Struthio camelus: one gene and its partner. The protein of the gene in region 1 interacts with the protein of each later gene in a pairwise test. Links are inferred from orthologs where the notes say so. Each region holds a gene or a part of one and is shown on either strand. Other genes may lie near its edges.

Region 1 (10,489 bases):
TCTCCTCATGAGAGAGGACTTCAGACATCTTCTGTATCTCATGGGTCAGGTTGACCACCATGTCTCTCTCATACTGCAGCTGCCGGTCATTCTGGATGATCTCTTGCTCTGTGATGTCAATGAGAAGTTGTAAGTTGTGCTCCAGCTCAGGCAAGGCAAATCCCTGGGGCTTAGAGTCTTTGCCCAGTGGCTGCTGAGGACTGTCATCAGGAATATTGTGCTTGTGGCTAATTTGACTGTAGCTGTAATAAACCTTTTGTTCACGGCCCGTCATATCTATAACCTTACAACAAACAAGAACAAGCATGTCCTTAAAAAAAAAAAAAAATCTTATTTCATGCTTAAATTGAAAATTTGGATTTCTGAGATTTCTGAGTACCTTAATCACTCCAGCAGGCTACTAATACAATCAGGCGTTCTGAATTATTTCTAAAGAGGCTTACTAACCACATGAAGATTTGGAATGAATGAAGAACACAACATGGAATCAGAGCTGGAAATAAGTGCAGAGAAAAGGCCTCTGAGTTTGGAGAGAAATGCCCTCTTCCTCTAACGCCACTTCTACCTTTTCACTGAGTATTTCGACAAGGAGTGATGATGCAAGTAATATACAGTTCATTATGGCACAGAAGCCTTGGGGCATTTTACAAGTTTTTAAAGACATGTAATTTTAGGTGAATAATTAAGTGCATCAAGGACAAATCTAGTTACTGTCTCTTTTAGGTGGAGGATAGTTCAGATGCACAACCATAATATGTACAGCTGGGCTTTCAGAAGTAGACGCACATTTAATTTATGATAAACGAGATACAATTAAACTTAACTCATAATGAAAGACATCTAAGCTAATCTGCCTTTTCCTGAGGTCAAAAGGTTGCTTGTGAACAAGTGCCAGGTCCCAGGTGACGCAGTAGTGTGTTAAATGACTTGGTGATAAGTCTGAGGCCTTTGATTTTCATGAGGCTGTGGACAATTCGTTCTTGTAACTGTCTTCTATTAAGGTTACCAATGGCTAAAAAGCACTCACAGTACTAACGCGGACTAATCATAACCCAAGTGATGGCATCTCTGGGAAATCAGCCTTACCTTGACTTGAGACAGCTCCTTTTGAGGCGCTGCAAGCTGTTTGCTGATCCTACCCTTGGCTTTCAATTCTTCTACTGTCTTATAGTTGTATTTGGGCTTTTTCTTGCCTCCATTAGGATCCTTTCTCCACTGACTGAGCTCTTTTTGAAACTCCTAAACAAAAACAAGCAGGAGTTGCGGGTTGCTTCTCTGTCATGACCCAAATTTGTCTCTCTAATTTTTTTTACAAAAAATTAACCAACGAAGAATGCTGTACAGCAAAACAACATGGGAAGTAGTAAAGCTGAGGGACAAATTAGCTCAGATGCTGTGGTCCGCCCAAACATGCTATTCATGACGGTAGCAATATATTTCTCCTTTTGTTAAAGAACCAAAAAACAACCAGAAAGAATGCATCCAAATGTTTCTACCATTTTAGCCAGACAAAGAGGATTTATTCTGGGGGGTTCCTAGCAAGACTACCAGAATAAAGGGAGCCAGAATTTATGAAGAGAACGTTACGTTGACAAGAAAAATACATCTAAATGAAACGGTGTTAGGTCTTTAGCTTCTTACCTAAAACTGGCCTAAACAGTTTTCTCTGACATAGAAGCTGATACCAGACCTGAATTTCATAAAATACAACATAACAATGAGAAAAGAGATATACCAGGAATCATACACATACCTCTTCAGCTTCTTCTTCTGAGTCAACAACAGGGAAGTCTTGCAAAGACTGATTGGTTCTTTCAGAGCCATATGCCCCTACAGCTCCTTTGCCTTTTCTTTGTTTGGCCTCAATTGGATTGATAATACCTGAACAGGACAGTAGTTAGATCAGAAAGGACTACAGTTTAGTTACTCAGACAGAATTGAAAGTGCTTTTCTTACAGTAACTTGAGTTATCAAATTAGCAAGAATTACTTTTTTTGAGCAGACACCGACCAAATGCAGAGCATTATTCACATTTGTATGTCAGTGCTTCTTCATTCTACTGCATAAAATAACGTCTCCTTTCATTCTGAGCTGACTACTCTTGAAATTTTATCTCCCTCCTTTTTCCTTCTTCTCCTCATACAAAATAACGAAAACAAAAAAATGGCCTATGGTACGTTAAACGCAATTGAATCTTATCATAAAAATTCAGATCATTTGCTAGAAATGTCAGAAAATGAGAATGAGGTTTTAAGCCACAGATAAAATTCAGATGAGAGATTGGATTCTTGTGAGTCAGCAAAAAACAAACAAACTTGCAATCACAGTACCTTGAGCGTTCTTCCCAAGACCTCTCCCGGGGACATAACCCATCTTCTGGAGAAGCTTCTGCCCAATTCCCTTAGTGTGTCTCTCCCAGCTTCCAAAATCCATGAAAGATTTGGCCCCTCCTACAAAGCCTTTCTGACTGGGCTTGAAATTACCACCCTATTTACAAACAACAACAAACTTTTTAAGGCAATTTAATAACCAAGCTTTGCATACGTTAACTCAAAAAGAAGGCACTCTCCTGAAAAGATTCAGCTATCACCACATGGTACTGCTGTTTCTCCGCCTCACGATGGCAGAGAGTACCACTGTTGTGTCCATTTAAGCAGCCTGCCACTTAAGAAATTTCCATATAAGCTGACAATTATTAGAGTCTGTCGCTGACTACAGCTGAAACTCCTACCTGATCTTTTCCGTATTTGATAGCTTAAAATACGGTTCGGTTTTTAATCTATAACATGCTCACGCTAATCATATTGTTCTGCGGGAATAAATCAACCTTTGGATTTTAATAACTGAAACAAGGAAATAAAACACGAGCATTCTTTTATTTTTAACCTCAACTGACCAAAATGAATATTAACGAAAAGGGCTCACAAAGGAGCAACGTTCCCAAGGACACACAACACTACATCAGTACAACTTTAAAAAATATAGAAAACATCTCCTTTAACTACGTGCACTATCAGTTCTCTAGTTTACAATTATTTCTCCGTTTCTTGAGTACTCTATTACTGGCTCAAGAACTTTGATACTATTACAGCTTAAGTTTCATAAATAGATTACATAGAACTAAAAAATTTCTGGATAACTCACTGTTTTTAACTTCTTTGGCACAAACTCTTTAGGGATTTCTTCTTGCTTAACAGGCTTTTCGTCTTCATCGGAGTCTTCCTCTGACATATCCTCAGCTGCTGACTTTTTCAGCCCAGCACTGATGAAGTTCACGGGGGCTGAGTAGTCCCTAGAACTATATATTAGAAAAAGGCTTCTGTAAGTGCTCACGGCACGAATTCTGTCCCAGCAGACCCGTGCGCGTCCCCGCGCAATCCTTGAAACAGTCCTGCTAAATCCCACCCTGAAAGGAAATCTTAACAACTCCTGGCTAACTTGGAGCATGACGTTATTGCTTTTTCTGCCAGGAAATAGCCACGCTCGCCCCTTGGGCAGAGGGACGCGGCCTGTGCGCCCAGTCTGAGCGCGGGCACCTCGGCCGGCCCCGGCCCCGGCGCCCCCGGCCCCCCCCCGGCCCGCACCGCTTGCCGCCGAAGCTGGGCCGCTCCTCGTCCGAGTCGCGCTCGGCCCACACGCCGTAGGTGGCCTCCTCCTTGCTCTGCCGGTGCCGCTGCCGGTGCGGGTTGAACTCGTTCTGGAGGTCCCAGTCCGACACCTCGAAGCTCTCCATCTCCACGCCGTCCTCCCCGTCCGTCCCGTACAGGTGCGACATCGACATGGCGCCGCCGGGCCCCGCACGGCCCCGCACCGCACCGCGCCGTGCCCCGAGCCCCGCCGCCGGGCCCCCACCGAGCCGCTCCGCTCCGCCTCGGGCCCCGCCGCCGGGTCCTCCTTCCCCCGCCTCCCCCGAGCCGCCGCCTCCCGCCTCCCGCCCCGCTCCGGTCGCTCCGGTCCCCGCCGCTGCGAAACGAGCCCCGCGGCCCAGAGCGCCACCCGGAAACGAACCCTCTCCTTCCGGGTCACGCCCCCGACCGCCGGCTGGAGCCACTCCCCCTACCATAGAGACTCTCGCGCCCGGGGCCGGGCCAAGCCGCCGTCTCGCGCGCCGGCCGCTCCTCTATGGTCTGGCGGACCGACCGTGCCGGGCCCAGGCCGCGGCCGACACCGGGGCCGGGCCTCCCCCCACCCCCCGCCCCCCAATCCCCGACACCCCCCGTCCCGCCCGGCCCCCCCGCGCCCCCCGGGACACCGGGCCCTGCCGCCCGCCCCGGCTGCCGCCTTCTCGGCCGAAGCGCTGCTCCAGCGGCGGCCGTAAACAGAGGGGCCAAGAACGAGACAGGCGGCCTCATATATTAACTCTTAAATAGATTCTGTAAATTACAAGTGAAGGAAGGGCAGGAGACTTGTACAACCAATGCTCTACAAGGTTATTAACACCTATTTCTGATTTGCAAATTAGAGAACAGCATTACAAGACACTTAAATACAGCCTTTAAAAGTTCTCAAGTAATTGAATATAAAATCTCTTTCCAATGCACGTCGAAAGTCCGATTGCAATATTTGTTTCCACAGCTTCTTTTACCACGGAGCGTTCAGAAAAGGTAGACAACCGGTATTTGAAGTGGAAAATGTTTGGCCTTTGCAAATAAATGCAAGTACATTCCTTGTATAGCAGTCATTTTGGCAATATTATTAGCAAGCAATATGCTTGGATAACAGATTTCCACTTTTGCAATTGCAAACTCTTCTTTGCTGGACAACAAAAGGCCATTTGCAGCATTCTGGAAGACAAGAAACACAGTCTTAGGGATAAGACAGACAGATTTAACACAGCAAATACATGACTAATGATTTTAAACCAGCAGCTACATAACAATTTGTTAGATAGCTATCTAAGCCCCAGCTCCAAGATAATGGGCATACATCATCCATCCTTATTCAATGCTTCTGCTTTTTTAAGCACAAGATCCTGCTTTTAAATATAAAGTAATTTTAAAAGGTTCATTTTTAGAAAATTTTCATTCACCGTTTAGCATAGATGCTACCTGAAGAGAGAGACAGAAAAGGATCCAAGATATGAACAGTTGTTTCTGCAGAAACAATCAAGGGTTGCGGTTTTGTTTTTTTTCCGAACTGACAGCACGCGTGACCGCTTTATCTTCTCTTCGGCGAGGACAGTGCCCATCCTAGCAGGCTACTGGGGGAGCTGCTCAGCACAGCTGCACGTTTCCACGCTCCGTTTCCATGTTGCCAGCAGGGATATTCAGTAATAAGCCTACCAAATGACTGATTCTGATTTTGCTGAAGTAAGCCTGTTTTCAGAGCTCAGAAAAACATTTTCTCACAGACCACCTCACAGAGTTAGCAGTATTGTTCTGAAAACCTAAAGCAACTGTGAAGGATCATTCACATAAAGAGGATGCCTGGAGCAGCCCAAATAATCAAGGGGCACAAGAATTATACAAGCAAAACACTAACTCTGGAGCAATGCAGGTAGATTTGCATGAGTCCCAAAGTACAAGCACTTACCTGGAAATCATTAATTTATTAGTGAGAAGATGATGTATTCTGAGTGACCTAGAATAACCAACAAAGTAGAAGGATCAGTTTTCTGTCACCACCTGCAACTCTGAACATTCCCAGTGTTCCAAGAAGCAAGAAAGGGAAACGTTCAGGACAGAGAAAATTGTGGCAGCTACAGATAATCAGCAGGCACGAGGCTTTGCCAAGAGCCTGCAGCGTCTCCCTGACCTCTCATTTCCCCAGAGCATCTGCAGCATGAACCACGCACACTCGCTTCACCAGCAGCTCTGTTTTCTCATTTCAAGTCTTGGCCACGCATCTTTTCTGGAGAACTGAGAAATCTTTTATTTTTTGGTCATTATGTGCAATGGCTGTTGGATTGCTCTGGATTATAAAAGACGGGTTACCAATTGTTTTCAAACATAGCACTGTAAGGAGAGCCCCGTATACTTCTGACACCTGAAAACAGTCTCACAAGTACAAGAAGGAATACTTGTAATCTCTAAATTAGATAAGCCATGCCCTCCCTAAACATGACAAGGCCCAGGACAATGAAAGCCTTGAGAGTTTAGGGTCAGACAACAAGGTGGCAAGGGTTTTAAAGTAACAGAAGAAAGCGCCCAAGTCTGATGCGTGAACGCAGAGCTCCACAGCAAGAAACCATAAGCAAGAGCAGGCCAGGAGAGGTGATGGAGATGAACAAGCAGGGTCTGAGGAGCAGAAGAGCACAGAATACCATCAAGATTTTGTAGGACAAGACAGGATATCAAAAATAAGAACGCGGAGGATGGGCGTGGTGCATAGCACAAAGGAAAGGAATACAGGATGGGCTGAAGGAGAGACCAGAGAGGGGAGCTCTCCCTGCACTTGGGCTGCCCAGCCTGCATCTGTCCATGAGAGGAAGCAAGGGACCAGGCACCCAGGATTAACCAACAGGGCCAAGCCCTGAGAAGTGGCATCAGACTCTTACCTGAAGGTGACCTTTCAAGTTGGCTGGCGTTTTATAATCTCCCTTTAAAACCTACGGAAAAGACAAAATTAGAGTGACCCCTTCTTGAACGGTGGCTGTAAAATATCAGTAACTCCACGTTATTAACTGCATGGATTGCCCCAGTGTATCCAAACCAGCAGAGCTCTCCTGATGGGCGTTTGTTCTACATCATGCTGATGCTGGGGAAATAGCTGGAGATTTCCTCCTTAGTGACTTTTTAAGCAAAGCCAGGGAATGGCATCCTGCCGGCACAGGGGCCTGACAAAAGCAGGTTCTCTGGATCCCTCCTTAACCTGGAAGGGGAGAGTATTTAGACCTTCAGCATCATGCCAGTGCTCCAAATTCATGCCGAGAAGTACTAGAAGGTCCACGTCAAAGACTCCAAGAGTCTCTTAAACCTGCTGGGGGAAGATATTCATCCAGATCATCTGTGTCCTTAAAGAGCTCTCAGCAAGCACACAGAGCAAGGAGGAACTGTCAGAGACCAGAATACTCATAGCGCAAACCAGCTCAGGGAAGTTCTGAGCTTCCAGTTTAGTGGTTTTACTTTCCTGTTGACCTATGGATCTGCTTATAGCACAGCAGGGACCAGTCCAGCCTGCAGGCGTTCCTCCACGCCCATCAGTGTGACAGAGGACATCTGGTCCAAGAGCACTGTCACTGGGTGTGCGTGCAAGGCTGGGGAGGCTGCCGAGTCCAGCCGCAGTCCGGTCTGCTTCAAAGCGTGAGAAAAATTCCCTCCGTCTAGTAACTGCTGTCTGTGGCAGAAACATGTGTCAGTATTCTGAAAAAAATCCTTTTGGTCTTTGCTCAAATGCATTACAAGCCTCCACTCACTCGCATTCCTCCTGGGACTGTGGGGAGCGGCTGGTGAGCTACACACGGACACAGCACAACCTAACCCCTTCTCTGCGGCCAGATGGGAGCTTCTAGAGCAAACAGCTCTGCATCTAGATAACACAGTACACTTCCCATGCCTGGTACCAAGAACTGGGCTGGATCAGGGAGGGACAGGCCGGTATCTGCCACAACAGACGAAATGAACACCGCCACAAAACCATAGGGAACATCATTAGTCTGAGCCACCCTAGTCTCAAGCTACCGCATTCATCTCCGTTTTAAAGTAACCTCTGTGTACTGCATGTCCATCTATCAGTCATAGTCTCCCCAAAGGAAGAGAGCTTTTGTGTCTCCAGTGCTCTTTTTTGATTCAATTCAGCAACCTCTTCTCCTGCAGAGGGCTCTGCGGGCACAGTGCCTGCACAGGGAGGTCTCTGTTCCAGCGTCAGCCCACCCTTCCCGTAACCGCCTGGCCACGCTCCAGCCGGATGGCAGCGACACTCACCCTGTGCGTGTTGTTGACAACTAAAGGGTCCGGGTTGCCGTAGTTGGGTGGATTGGCGTACGGGTCGTAGCCGAGCCTGGCAAGCATCGGCGCTATGTGGGCCATGTCTTGCAGCACATCCCCTGGGATATGTCCGATCCATTTAGATAATGCCTCCATGTTCACAGGCTTGATAACCTGGTCTGTTGATCTTTCTATCCTGGAAGAAAATAAATAAATAAATAAATAAAAGGAAAGCAAGACAGTAAAGTTGCTGTCAGTTGGATTTCACGTGTATATTAATTGGACTCAGACAGAAAAACCTTCAGCTAGGTTAGCTACCCTCTGAATGATTTACTCTCAATGCCCAAGATGCACGTGTAGCTCAAGTGCTGTTGAGTCCACGCCAGGATCAAAGGTTCCCAAAGCGGCAGCCAGAGGCAGAGCTGTGGCCGAGCCCAGCAGCGCTGCTCTCAGGGCAGCTCCCATAAGGACAGCAGTACCTCCCTGCCCTGACGGCCCCTCTCCAGCGGGTGCCTTCAGTCCGAAACAGCCAAGCCCCAAGAGCATCGTGGGTTTACGCGAGCCGCTTGCCTTGCGACCAGGCTTGGGCACTAGGACCAACATCACCAGCTCCAAACAGGCCAGCACAAGGAGGTGCTGGTAAGGGGGGGCCCTTGCACAGTGCAGACTCTCCCTTCCCACCCTGCGCGCGGGGTGACACTCAGCCCGGGCTAAGCTGCATCTGCTCCGCGCTGAGTCAGAGGAAACCACACCCGACGAGGCATATGCAACTCTGCATGTTAGGAGGGATAAATATACACAAAGACAGCAGATCATCGGCTGAGAGAGCTTCCCAATTACTGAATCATTAAGCGTATGCAATTCCACACAGCCTATTCAGGAAGAGTGTTTTAGTGCTGACGAAAGCAGAGCCGAATAGCGCACCCCTTGGCTGCCTTGGAGAAAAAACAGCGCGAGCGCACCCACCGCTTTGGATGCATCAAGCTAATAAGGGGCAAGAGGAATTTAGGCAAAGACTGCTTGGGTGGTTCCTGTATAGGACTGATTAATTTTTGCTAAGTTAGCCTTAAGCTTCCGTCTAGAAAAATAATTCAGCACTTAACAACCACAAGAAGCTGGGTAAAGCAAGCACCTCCTGGAACACAAGAAGAGACAGAAAAAGCTAGGGAGCAGTGGGGTGCGTCTTCATGGGAGAAGATATTTCTTTTATACTGCAATACCAGCAGGAAACATAGTAAGAATTAGTGCAAACTACCAAAAGCAATTCATTAACAGCTAAACTGTAATCCCAGTCTGAACAGGTATATGAGGACAGGTGGAGAAAGAGTCATTAAAAAAAGCTCAAGTTTCTGAGCAAGCAGTTCTTCTCAAATTAGACACCAAAACCATTTCCACACTGTCAACAGCAGATGAAAAAACACTGTCACCTGCTTTTAAAATCCTTGCCTAACAAGCTGTTCTATTGGGTACAACAGATAGCTAATATTCAAGCTTGTGTTTTACTTAGAAAAACAAAAGCAACTGCAGCAAAACGGATGTGCTACCACTTCTGATCCTGAAAACTATGCCTAAACATAAGCAACAAATCTTTGCCCTCCAGTTTTGGCCCTGACCTGCTTTGTCTCATGAAAATACTCTTTGAAAAGCAGAGGCAGTAGCAGAGACACTCACTTGGAAAGAGACACTCCACCAGGCTTCCCTATCAGTTCCTCATGGTGCAGCACCGCATCACTCCAGGAAATATCTAGGAACTTCATGATGGCATGCATAGACCGCTCAGGGTGCAGGACTAGCTGCTCGTAGTAGACTGGCAGGCACCGGGCTCGCCCGATCTCCAAGCACTGGGAATACATCACCTCGATCGCTTTGTTCCACTTGGTAAGGCAGTCTCGGTAGCTGTTCAGGTCAAAGCCTGCGATTGTCACCTTCCTTGTGATCATTGAATGGACAGACGCCCGGCCATCTCGAACCATGAGGAGGAATTTGGAATTGGGAAACAGTCTGGACAGGTAGACAGAGGACTTCAAAGTGAAAGGGTCCTTGTTACATAAATACCTGGCTGGCTCGCCATGCTTGGCGATGACTTCCAGTATAAAGGCCTGCATAGCAGCGTCCAAAACTTGGTCCGTCACTCCTGCTTCGTCCAGGCGCATCTTCTCCCGCCCCGATTTGGACCAGGCCTGGCGCATCGCTAGCACACGGGGAATGATGCGGGTCTCCTCCCCACAGCGGACCTCAGGGTGGGCATCGAGCATTGCTCTCATCAGCGTTGTGCCGCTCCGTGGGACCCCGCCAACAAATATCAGAGGCATCTCCTTGCTGTAACGGTACTCGACGTGGTTGGAGTCCACCATGACGAGCTCCTCATTCTCAGGTCTCATCAGCCTGTGTCGCCTCTCGCTCAGGACCTGCTGGCACTCCAGGACCTGCTGGCCAAGGTGCAGCGTGACCATCAGGGCGACCACCGAGCCAACCGCCAGCAGCACCCGCCTCATGGTGACCCGCATCCTGTTCTCCACATAGGCTGGAGACCAATGTGCGACCACGCTTCAGCTTTCAGCTAGTAAGCATTCAATCCTATGCGCACCTGCAGAAGAAGCACAGCACGTTTAGAGGAGCAGGAA
Region 2 (9,946 bases), on another chromosome or scaffold:
TAGTAAACATATTAAGATAAATGGCTACTGCCAGAATCTGGCACGCATTTTCTAAGCAGACTAGGTGATGTAATTAGGAAACGAAGCCTTTTCCACTCTGTCTGTCTGGTTCAAGTGATAACTCTGATATGACCACTGTCATGACTTGTTATCTGCCCTCAGGAATTATTCTGTGTGTGTGGCGCTCTGAAGCGAGCCCGGCTGGTGCACCCAGGAGTGGCTGAGGTAGTCTTTGTGAAGAAAGAAGATGCTATCACAGCGTATAAGAAATACAACAACAGATGCTTAGATGGTAAGTTGGAGGTCAAGGTTACACTTAGGATAGAGGAATCAACAGTTTTTCACCTCAGCAGAGAGCTTAAAAGCATCTCAGGGTGTTTATATATTACCAAGAGAATTACTACCAGAGGCTTTGCAGGCTTTTGTGTAACTTGTTGGATTATATGCATAGTTCATTTAAGTGGTATTCATAAATATGTTTTCCCGGGAAGAGAGCTCAGAGCTAGAAGCAGATTTCCACCGATTCCTCTGATCTGACTTCCAGATGAATTTTGTATTGTCTCTAACCTAGAAGCCAAAGCAGGATAGTCCTTAGGAAGGCACTGAATGCTTACAGAGTAACTGCACAGCACAAGTAAAACTAGTATTTATAGAGGTCTTGGGGGCCTGGCAAAGACATTCTGAATCAGACCTGTAAAACAGTATCAGCTTCTCTACAGACTTTGAACAATGCAGTTTTTGATCAGGATCTATCTGCATGTTGTCACAGGCTGAAATTAGCTGCTAACTTCTAGCTTATCTTTTACCCTTGTGAGAGGCCTGATGCAACTTTAACAAGTGTAAGTTTTCTAGCTGAAAATAGATGTTTCTTTCCCTGGATGAGTATCACCACTAATATCAGATGAGGAGCAAACAGCTCAGAATGGGAGAATCTCTGCCTGTGCTAAGGGTTGTCTACCTATATGTAACTTCAAATTTCATATTTCTCCTGAGTGTTTCAGTTACACTTCAGTTGCTTAGAAGTGCTATGATCTTGCAACAGAAGATGCATCAGCTGCTCTTTCTCCTGGTTTCCCCAGAATGTGGAGCTCTACTATTGCTTGCACTGTTGTGTGATGTTTTAGGAGCCTTGCCTGACTGTGATTCTGAGATACAGATTTTTTTTTGTTGTTGTATTTTGTTTAGGTCAACCGATGAAATGCAATCTTCATATGAATGGGAATGTCATCACCTCAGACCAGCCTATATTGCTGTAAGTGCCCACTGAGGGAAAGAACCAAAAGAGTTTGCAGGTTCTGTTTTGAGGAGAACCTATGAGGAAGGAGGAAAATATGTTGGTAAACTGTTTTCCCATTAATATCCTCTTTCTCTTCCTTTCTGGAAGCTCTCTGTGTTGAGCTGACTGCAAAATAGCTTGCTTCCATAGTGTTGGCCAGCCCTGGGGATTCAAAGCAAGTCTGCGATCAGGAAGTGTTCTTGTCTGAAAGCACATTTTAAACTGCTATGTCCAATGCTGAGAAGAGAGGATATTGAGCAGTGCAGATATTGGGTAAAATGTATTTGATAATGTGAGGTTTAATACTATTTGTGGGTTCTTTGTTTAATTCTCCAGCCGACTGAGTGATACCCCTTCAGTGAAGAAGGAAGGAGAACCACGCCGGTCAAGTGCAAGCGCCTCCTCAAATCCCCCTGCTGAGGTGGACCCTGACACCATCTTGAAGGCACTCTTCAAATCCTCAGGGGTCTCTGCCTCTGTGCAGCCCACAGAATTTAAAATCAAACTCTGAGAAGGGGGAGCAAGTGGTGGACTGGAAAACTCACTCAAGTCAGAGAATGAGAAAAGTGCAGGAGTGCAGATGTTATTTGCATTTGCCTGTCTGGAAGTTTTTTTGTTTTCTATGATCGCTACCTTACTGTACAATAGTGTTTCCTCTTGTGTGTGTATTTTCTGTTTTCATAGTTGGAGTTTTCTTCCATGATTTTTTTTCCCCAAGAGAATAACCTCCCCCTTCTGCCAGTAATATATTACCACACATATACGATGTAACTCTCCTTTACTCGAAAGCCCCTAGTGGCCATTAAAAGTGCACATAGACTCTGAGGGAAGGAGTGGCAATCTCCTTTTCTCTCCTGACCTACCTTTAAACTAAAAGGTGTATCCCTTTGATTATCAGCAGGCAAGACAACACACGGTTTCTAAAATTGCTACCTTGAGTATAAAGGTGCGGCTCCATACAGAAAGCACCGTCTTGCATCTCTGACTCATGCATTCAGTAGCATACCACTTGGGCCTGGCTGTTGGATAACTTTCTGCTCAGCAGCTGTGACACTGAGAAGATGCAAGAAAAACAGAGCTCCCCTGTGGGTATGCCAGCCAAGGGAGGCATCGGGGAGAAAGGACGTGTGTAAAGAGCAGCACCCATCGTGCAATGGGAGGGATGTTTCTAACTCTGGTAAGGGACAGAGGTGGAGAAAGACTCTGGTGCTTCTGCAGTGAATACACTTGCCCTGTATAGTCAGGCTGAGTTGCTCTCTCCCTACTTCTGAACTTAAAAAACAAGAACCAGGATTGTGTTCAGAACTAGATAAAATCCAAGTGCTTCACTCCTATTAGACAGTATTGCATCCTCCTGGTTTCTGGATAGGGACATGAAGTGCTTTCTTAGCTTCTAACTTACCCAGTCTCCCTTTATGAAAAGGAAGGAGCTGGGGCCTCTTTCAGACATGTAGGAAGCAGTCTTCTGCCCCTGAAAAATCACTTGAGGTTTAATTTAGGCAATGTTTGGCTGCTGTGCAGGCCTGCTCCCATATATGGGTGTGGAGGGTGATCACTGCACTCCGTGGCTGCAAGGAGAGGTTTGGGGGAGGTGTGTGTGGAGGGAGCAGTTAACGCTCTAGGGAATGCATCGAAGAGTTTAGATACCGGCAAGTTCCATGCAGAGCAGCAAGAACGAGTCACCTTCAGAGCGAGCATCTGCGACCAGCCACCGGCCACTAGGTGGCACTTCGACTACTTCCTTTGTTAGTGCACCATTATTGCCATGGATATTTGAAGTCCCAGTAGCTGCCTTTGTTTGTATTAGTTGAAATTGTATTATAAGAGGAAAGGTAAGAGCCACTTCCAGAATCTGGTTGGGGTTTGAACTTAATCCTTCTAGCTAGGAGAGTAACCCGATCCGTTCTGTTCGGCACTGCTGAACTTTAGTGAAGTAAACCATTGTAGGCCTGGACTCCCATTTCTTGGTCAACCTTACGTTTCTTTTGCTTTCTTGTTCTGTACAAACTCTTTGCTCTATCTAGCAGGTGCAAAGCATTCCTCTATTTCGCTATATCCCTTTTAGCCATGGAAATAACTGAGGACTTGGCAGGACTTGTTTTTTCACAGAGTACTCTCTGGTTTGGAAACTAACCATGCTGTTATTGGTAGAGTGCTTCTTGTGAACTGCAGATGTTTGTAGGGGAGGGGACTTAAGACAGCTATTGTTCCCCTTTTTTAGACTGCCCATCAAACACCTGTGTTTTAATAAGAGTCGGGGGGAGGGGGAGGAAATGTTAGGGGCTGGAGAAAATAATGTATTACCTGTTTCTGAATAAACGTTTGTTATACAGAGAGTGTTGCTGTTAAAGTGGGAGCAATTTGCGTCCACAGTTAGTTCCAATTCCATTGATGTCACAAAAAAGGGAAACAGTGGTCCTTGTTACAGACAGCCTAGTGGGTTTAAAAGATAACTCCAGAAAAAAAGAGTGGAGCTGTGAAATTAAGATATCTGTTCTTGGGGAAGCAGGATACTTTATCAACTAGATCAAAGAGTATGAAAATATGAAGACATGTATTGTGGCTGCGTATTTTTTTTTCTTCTGAAAGAATGATTTGGTCATACGCTTTCATTAGTACATTCACATCCATTCCAAAAAACAAATAGAATTGTAATTTGCTGTTAAGTTGGACATAGCGCTTAGATTATCTGTGATAAACTATGATGACATTAACATACTTCCTTGAAGAACTACTGCTCTGTTCTCTAGCTCTGTGATCTGTGTAGTAAATCCTTCTATTTTTTTTTTATCATTGAAGTCAATGATTGTCTAAATACCACCCTAGACAGTCTTGCAGTCTAAAGTTGGTTTGGTCTCTTAGATTAAGTTTTCTTAGCTAATTCTTCCTAGTGTGATTTCCTGTTTCAGTAGGCACTGAAAGAAGAATAACATTCTAGTAATTCCCAGGCTTTTTCAAGCGCTTTGCCTTGCAGCTCTGGTTTCATCTCACTGGCCTGAAATACTCATGCTAAGTCTTGTTAGCCTCCTGCTGAGCTCACCTACCACCTTCTGACCTAACACCTGTGCACATTTGCCTTAACTCAGCATAGTTATATTTGTGTTGGTTGGTTGGTTTTTAAATGTTTAGGGGTTATCTGAGATCATAAATTTGCATACAAAACACACTGCCAGCACTAATTCAAAAGGGTTGTCCAGAACAGGTGGTAAGTCATTTGTAACAGTGTTTCTCTTTTTCCTTGGCTTTTTCAAAAACTTGCTGATTCCTAATATGATGCTACAATTTGCAGGTTTGCCTGGTATATGTTTACAGGTTCTGCGTTTGCCATTCCTCCCGATCACGTTCCTTAACTTGGATATCTATTCTGTGTCAAGTCACCATATCATTTCTTACTCGCTTTCACTAGCTTTTGTTCACCTTGTACATATGTCTTGCTTCAATATCTTCTTTTATTTTTGGAGTGGTCCTTCTTGTTCTATGCAGTCATAAATATAACTTTCTCTGTAGGGGTCTCTGCTGCTTCCCCTGATTAACAAGAGCCTTTGAGAGTAGTTACTCCTATAGTTGTCTTTGAATGTTTTTACACATCTGAAGCATTTCTTCTTTTATTTGCCTCTCTAGAATTAAGCAAACTTGCTGCTTTTTACGTTGTGTTCTCACTGTTAAGGTCTTCATTTTCAGAATTCTAGTTTAACTAAATGACTGGGTGTAATAAGCTTCCTTACAGAACATACTGTGCTGCAGAGGCCTTATCCAGGTGCAACTCACCTTAACAGATATTTCCATGTTCCTTAGCCAAGAATTTCCAGAGGCGCTTGTGAATGCAGAAATCTGTCTGTATCACCAGGTCATTGGGCAACATAACCTACCTGAACATCCACCTTGCTTGCTCTGGCTAAAGCCACCTTCTACCTGTCTCAGTTATTTCCCATGGGTGTAATGATGTCTTCCCTAGCAAATCAGATTTTGACTTATCTTAAAAGAGCCTTCCCTTTAAAAGACTCGTCTTCAAGGTGCCGAGGAATTGCTTGTGCTTTGGCTTACAGTGTCCTGAGAGGTTGTTGGGCCCGTAGCACGTGCTTTAGGGAGAGGTTTAAGTGATCTATCTGCTTGTCGCTCGGCCTCGTGCACTTAACTTGGCAGATTTTCTGTCGGGGGGGGTGTCCTCCTATATCTTTCTCCTGTAAGCCACCACCTCTTCCATCTGCCCTCAGCCGTATTTTGTCATTTAAAAGCGCCTCTTAGTGAGTTGGTCGTGCGCGGCGAGAGCAGAAGTTGCATCCACCGGCTGTATAGTTGCAGCGGGAGATGGGGCTCTTCTGCCACGCTCGCTTCAAGTGGAAGCAGCTTGATCGAAACCATATTTTAGAGCCAGAAGCCGGACAGCAGGAGTGGGCCAGAGCCTGGATGGCTGCTACAGGCCCCGGCTACGCTTGTAAAACAAACTGCCCGGACTCGCAGATGCACCGAGGAGGCGCGCTCGCCCTTGAGGCGCGGGCTTCACAAACGCCTGTAAGAAGGACGCGTGGGCAGGCCGGTATCCGAGCTTGCCTCCGCGGTGCTTTAACCTTCCCCCCCCCCCCCAACACACACACACACACACACACACACACAGAGACACCTCCCGCTGCCCCTCCTCTCCGCCAGCGCGGCGGCGGGAGGCGAGCTAACGGTCGGGCGCCACCCGCCGCCATTAGCGACACGGCGAGGGCGCGCGGGGGAGGGTTGGGGGGACTACAGCTCCCGGCGGCCCTCGCGGCCCGGCACTTCCCGCGGAGCTAAGATGGCGGCCGCCGCGGAGCGTGTGCCTGGAGAGGCGCCGGCGGGGTACACGGGTGAGGGCGGCGCGGGGCCTCGCGGGGCAGGGGGCGGCGGGCCGGGCCGAGCCGAAGATAGGGGAGGGGGGTCTCTAACCGCTGTGTTGCCCGCAGCGCTGGCGGTGAAGTTCGGGCCGCGGCAGCGCTCGCCTCACTGCCTCTTGGTGAAGGAGCACCGGGTGCGCGAAGGGACCGGGACCGGCGCCGCGCACCCGCCCCGCCGCACCCTCTTCGTGCTCAACGTCCCCCCGTATTGCAGCCGGGTGAGTGGGACCGCCGGGGGACCAGGGCTGCCCCGGCTCGGGGGGGGGGGTGGGGGTGGGCCGCTGCAGGGTTTGGGCCGCTGGTTGGGACAGTGGGACAGCACGGGTATCGTCTCGGGGCTGCGGTGCTTCCCCCCCCCCCCCGAGGCTCTCCCCTTGGAGATCTCTGTCCCCCCCCTCTCCCTTGGGCCTCTCTCCCCCTCGGGGTTTGTGCCCCCCGGGGCTGCGTCCCCTCAGGTTTCCAGCCAGGGCAGTTGGAGTGCTCCCAGCGCTTTTGCTGCCAGTGCTCGCCGAAAGTTTCCCCTGGGTGAGCTAGCGGGCCAAAACCCAGCGGTCGCGTGCCACGCCGTGGGCAGGTCCTCCTCCGGGACGAGCGTGGCGGCACGGGCTGAACGAGCCGAATGGGCCGCAGAGATGTGACTGCCTAGTTGGTAGGCAGTGCACTGCCAGCTGGGAGAAGTGGGCAGAGGGGTCTGTGGTTTTGTCAGAGAGTCGTCTAATGCTTTCTGCGGGTGTGAAGGCATGGAAAGAAGTCACTCTTGTTTTTCTGTGTTATTTTTTTCTCCCTTAACGCCTGTATCAAGGAATCTCTGTCTAGGCTGTTCTTCAGTTGTGGACCTGTTCAGTCTGTGGATATCTGTGACAAGCCAGAAATAGGAGAGAAAACAGAAACACTCAAGTCCAAATTCTTCAACCTCAAAACCACAAAGGTAAGGGGAAAGAGACTGATGCTTTAGTGGTGCGAATGGGAAGAGATCTCGAGTGTTGGAATGGTGCTGTTCGGAGCACAAGATGTGGGAAAATCATTTTGGGGGATTTGCCAGTGTGTTATCTTTTTTGCTATTCTACTGCAATCTGTGGTTTGATTTAATTTTATGTATTGATTTAGTGTACTGTAGTTCCTTACTGTGTTACCAACTCCGTAGGTGTACCTGACTGGCCTGAGGGCACCTTTCTTTCAGGGTTTCCGAGTAGCATACGTGGTGTTCAGGAGCCCAGCTGGTGTCCAGGCAGCCAAGGCCCTGTCGCAGGGAGGTCCTCTGCTGATATCAACAGAGAGTCATCCTGTGAAAACGGGCATCAGCAGTAAGTCAGTCCTAGCTATCTCCCTGTTAACCGGAGCAGGGCAAAGCTACACCTGTTCCTTAGTGAATCCTGTACTACGTATCCCGAATTAATTCCCACCACTTTGTACTGAGACTGAGCTGGGAGGCGTCCAGTGTTTTGTTGTCCTTTTTTTACTCTTTAAGATAGCCATCTTATTCTACTGAAAGTTGTGGAATCTGGTCCTGTTCCCCTGTGGGAGGAAGTGCTTACTTGATATGATGGAAGGGCAGTTTCTCCCCCTATCTCTTCAGTATTGTATAGAAAAACTGGCTGTGGCTTGCCCCCGGAATGGGAGCCAGGCTCATTAACAGGCACAAGGTGTTTATCAAGACGACAGGACTTTGGACGTGACCCCTCTGCAGGAACGCAGCCCTGAATTTTGCACTTGAGGATACCCCAGTCTTGCTTGGGGACGGTTGCAAGCACGGTTGCCCTTCTCATTGTTTAACCCTTTACTGGCCATGGCCTGGTCCACAGGTCAGTTGTTTGTGAACCAATGTGGTGGGGAGGCTGAGGATGGATGGAAAATGGGAACGGCCCCAATAAGCCGTTTTCTCTAGAGCTGCTCAAAGACATCACACTAGGGCTTGCTTCTAACAGAAGCTACTGCTGACTTCTGCCTTCTCTGTTTCAGAGTGGATTGCCAGCTACGCAGCTTCAGTGGTGGATCGGGAAGAACTGAAAGCTGAGGTGGATGCCTTCATGCAAGACTATGACAAACAGATAGCAGAGGTAAGGCCAGGCTGGGGAAGGGACCCAGCAAAGCAGTCTAGGGGGTGAAAGGAAGACGGAGGGTCTCACCGCCCAGGCCCTACTGGAAATTGCACGAGGGGGGGGCACACTGGCTGGCAGGGTTGTTTATTCCTAGTTGCTGGTGGATGGTGTCTGGAGACCAGGTCCTAGTTTGCTTTGTGACAGCTGACCCTTCCACCCAGGGCTTACAGCAGGTACCCACAAATACATTGGGTCCTGTCTGGCATGCAGTGTTGCGACTGAGACTTGAATGCCTAGTCTTATGCTCGGTGCCCGGTCCTCTGTCTTGTGCTCTCCTTCAAATCTTGTGCAGAAGCAGGAGCTGCAGCTGTGCATGCGTGTAAGGGGAGCCGTGAGGGAGCTAAGCATCTGTCTGGCTGACAGCAGATTTGCACTGAGCCTCTCTGTCCTGTATTTATAGGAAGAAGCTAAAGCAGCTGAGGAGGAGGGCGTTCCGGATGAGGAGGGCTGGGTGAAGGTAACGCGGAAGGGCCGGAAGCCTGGCCTGCCCCGGACAGAGGCTGCCAACCTGCGTCTGCTGGAGAGGGAGAGGCGGAAAAGGGCCCGCAAAGAGCTGCTCAACTTCTATGCCTGGCAGCATCGTGAGACCAAGAGAGAGCGTGAGTGCCTCAGTCTCCTCCCCCTTCCCATGGCTCTTGTCCTTCATATGTGGCCCTAAGAGCACCAGTTTTCCTTCAATGGTCGCTGTAGGCGACCAGTTGCTGTGCTGTTGTGTGAACAGCCTCTCCAGTTCTTGTGGGCCCCATGCCGCTCCCTGGCCTAGCAGGGGCTGTTTGAAAGTTTTGTGGCAGAGTTGGAAGAATGCGGCTTTCTAATAGGGGTTTCTTCAGTCAGCACAGATGCAGCAATTGAAAGGGAGGACTCACCTGTTCCCCTCCTCAAGAGGGAGCTGCAGCACTGCAGGAGACAAGTGGCCAGAGCCACAGCCCTGCACCGAGCCCTGGCCCAAAAGGATCCACTCTGGGAAGTGTATCTCTGCATGTCAGGACTGAACCACCTCCCAGTGTGTATAGGGCTGTTGAGAGCAGCGGAGATGAAGCTCCCTAGGGAGATGGAAGTCTGCCGCTCCCCCTGTGTGACCTGCTCTCTCCCTCCTCCTTTCGGTTTCAGACATCGCCCAGCTGAGGAAGAAGTTTGAGGAGGACAAGCAGAGAATCGCACTGATGCGAGCCCAGCGCAAGTTTCGGCCGTACTAAGCTATGCTGGACTGTTTCCTCAGATGTTTGTGCTGGAGAGGGAGGAACAGGCATGCGTGGACTTCATGTGCCAAAGGGTTTCAAGGAACTGAGGCAGTTTCAGGTTGTCCCTGCCTTTGGGTCTGAGGTGGGAGATCCAAGCACCTGCAACTGGAGGGGGAGTTGGCTTCACTCACACCGGCATCTCCTGTTCTCCTGGCCATGCCTGCGCTGCCATTGTCCAGCCCTGAGGCACCACTTTCAGGATGCACAGGCCAGAGGAGCTGGAGCAACAAACTGTTATCTTCCTGCCAGCCAAGGTCTTCCTAAACCTTGGTGAGAGTCGGGATTCATGCAGCACAGCCTCTGCAGGGACAGGGAATAACTGAAGAACTGTAAATAAACTGCTGTGTTTCCAGAACACAGGAATGCCTCTCTCCCCCTGGCTCTGCTCTGGGACACAGCTCCTTGTGTGGTGTGCTGGTAATAACACCCATAGCTTGTATGCTGGTTCTCCTTTGCACAGGTCAGGCT

What was found.
Region 2: the proteins of TFIP11 (region 1) and RRP7A interact in binary tests that used the Homo sapiens proteins (3 or more experiments, as listed by UniProt). The link is inferred for Struthio camelus from reciprocal best matches to the Homo sapiens genes TFIP11 and RRP7A.

Annotation. Positions count from the first base shown.
Region 1 is NC_090958.1:19,920,648-19,931,136, forward strand, and holds the start of TFIP11 (tuftelin-interacting protein 11), read right to left. Parts: upstream 3,871-10,489; 5' UTR 3,782-3,870; coding exon 3,585-3,781; intron 3,299-3,584; coding exon 3,145-3,298; intron 2,488-3,144; coding exon 2,331-2,487; intron 1,882-2,330; coding exon 1,754-1,881; intron 1,240-1,753; coding exon 1,087-1,239; intron 284-1,086; coding exon 1-283. Other genes in the region: TPST2 (protein-tyrosine sulfotransferase 2), read right to left, coding at 5,551-5,580, 6,497-6,547, 7,863-8,061, 9,537-10,372. UniProt on the Homo sapiens protein: Involved in pre-mRNA splicing, specifically in spliceosome disassembly during late-stage splicing events. Intron turnover seems to proceed through reactions in two lariat-intron associated complexes termed Intron Large (IL) and Intron Small (IS).
Region 2 is NC_090942.1:56,160,281-56,170,226, forward strand, and holds RRP7A (ribosomal RNA-processing protein 7 homolog A), read left to right. Parts: upstream 1-5,945; 5' UTR 5,946-6,059; coding exon 6,060-6,111; intron 6,112-6,207; coding exon 6,208-6,356; intron 6,357-6,940; coding exon 6,941-7,066; intron 7,067-7,318; coding exon 7,319-7,442; intron 7,443-8,097; coding exon 8,098-8,195; intron 8,196-8,637; coding exon 8,638-8,836; intron 8,837-9,347; coding exon 9,348-9,433; 3' UTR 9,434-9,917; downstream 9,918-9,946. Other genes in the region: POLDIP3 (polymerase delta-interacting protein 3), read left to right, coding at 163-292, 1,186-1,252, 1,613-1,787. UniProt on the Homo sapiens protein: Nucleolar protein that is involved in ribosomal RNA (rRNA) processing. Also plays a role in primary cilia resorption, and cell cycle progression in neurogenesis and neocortex development.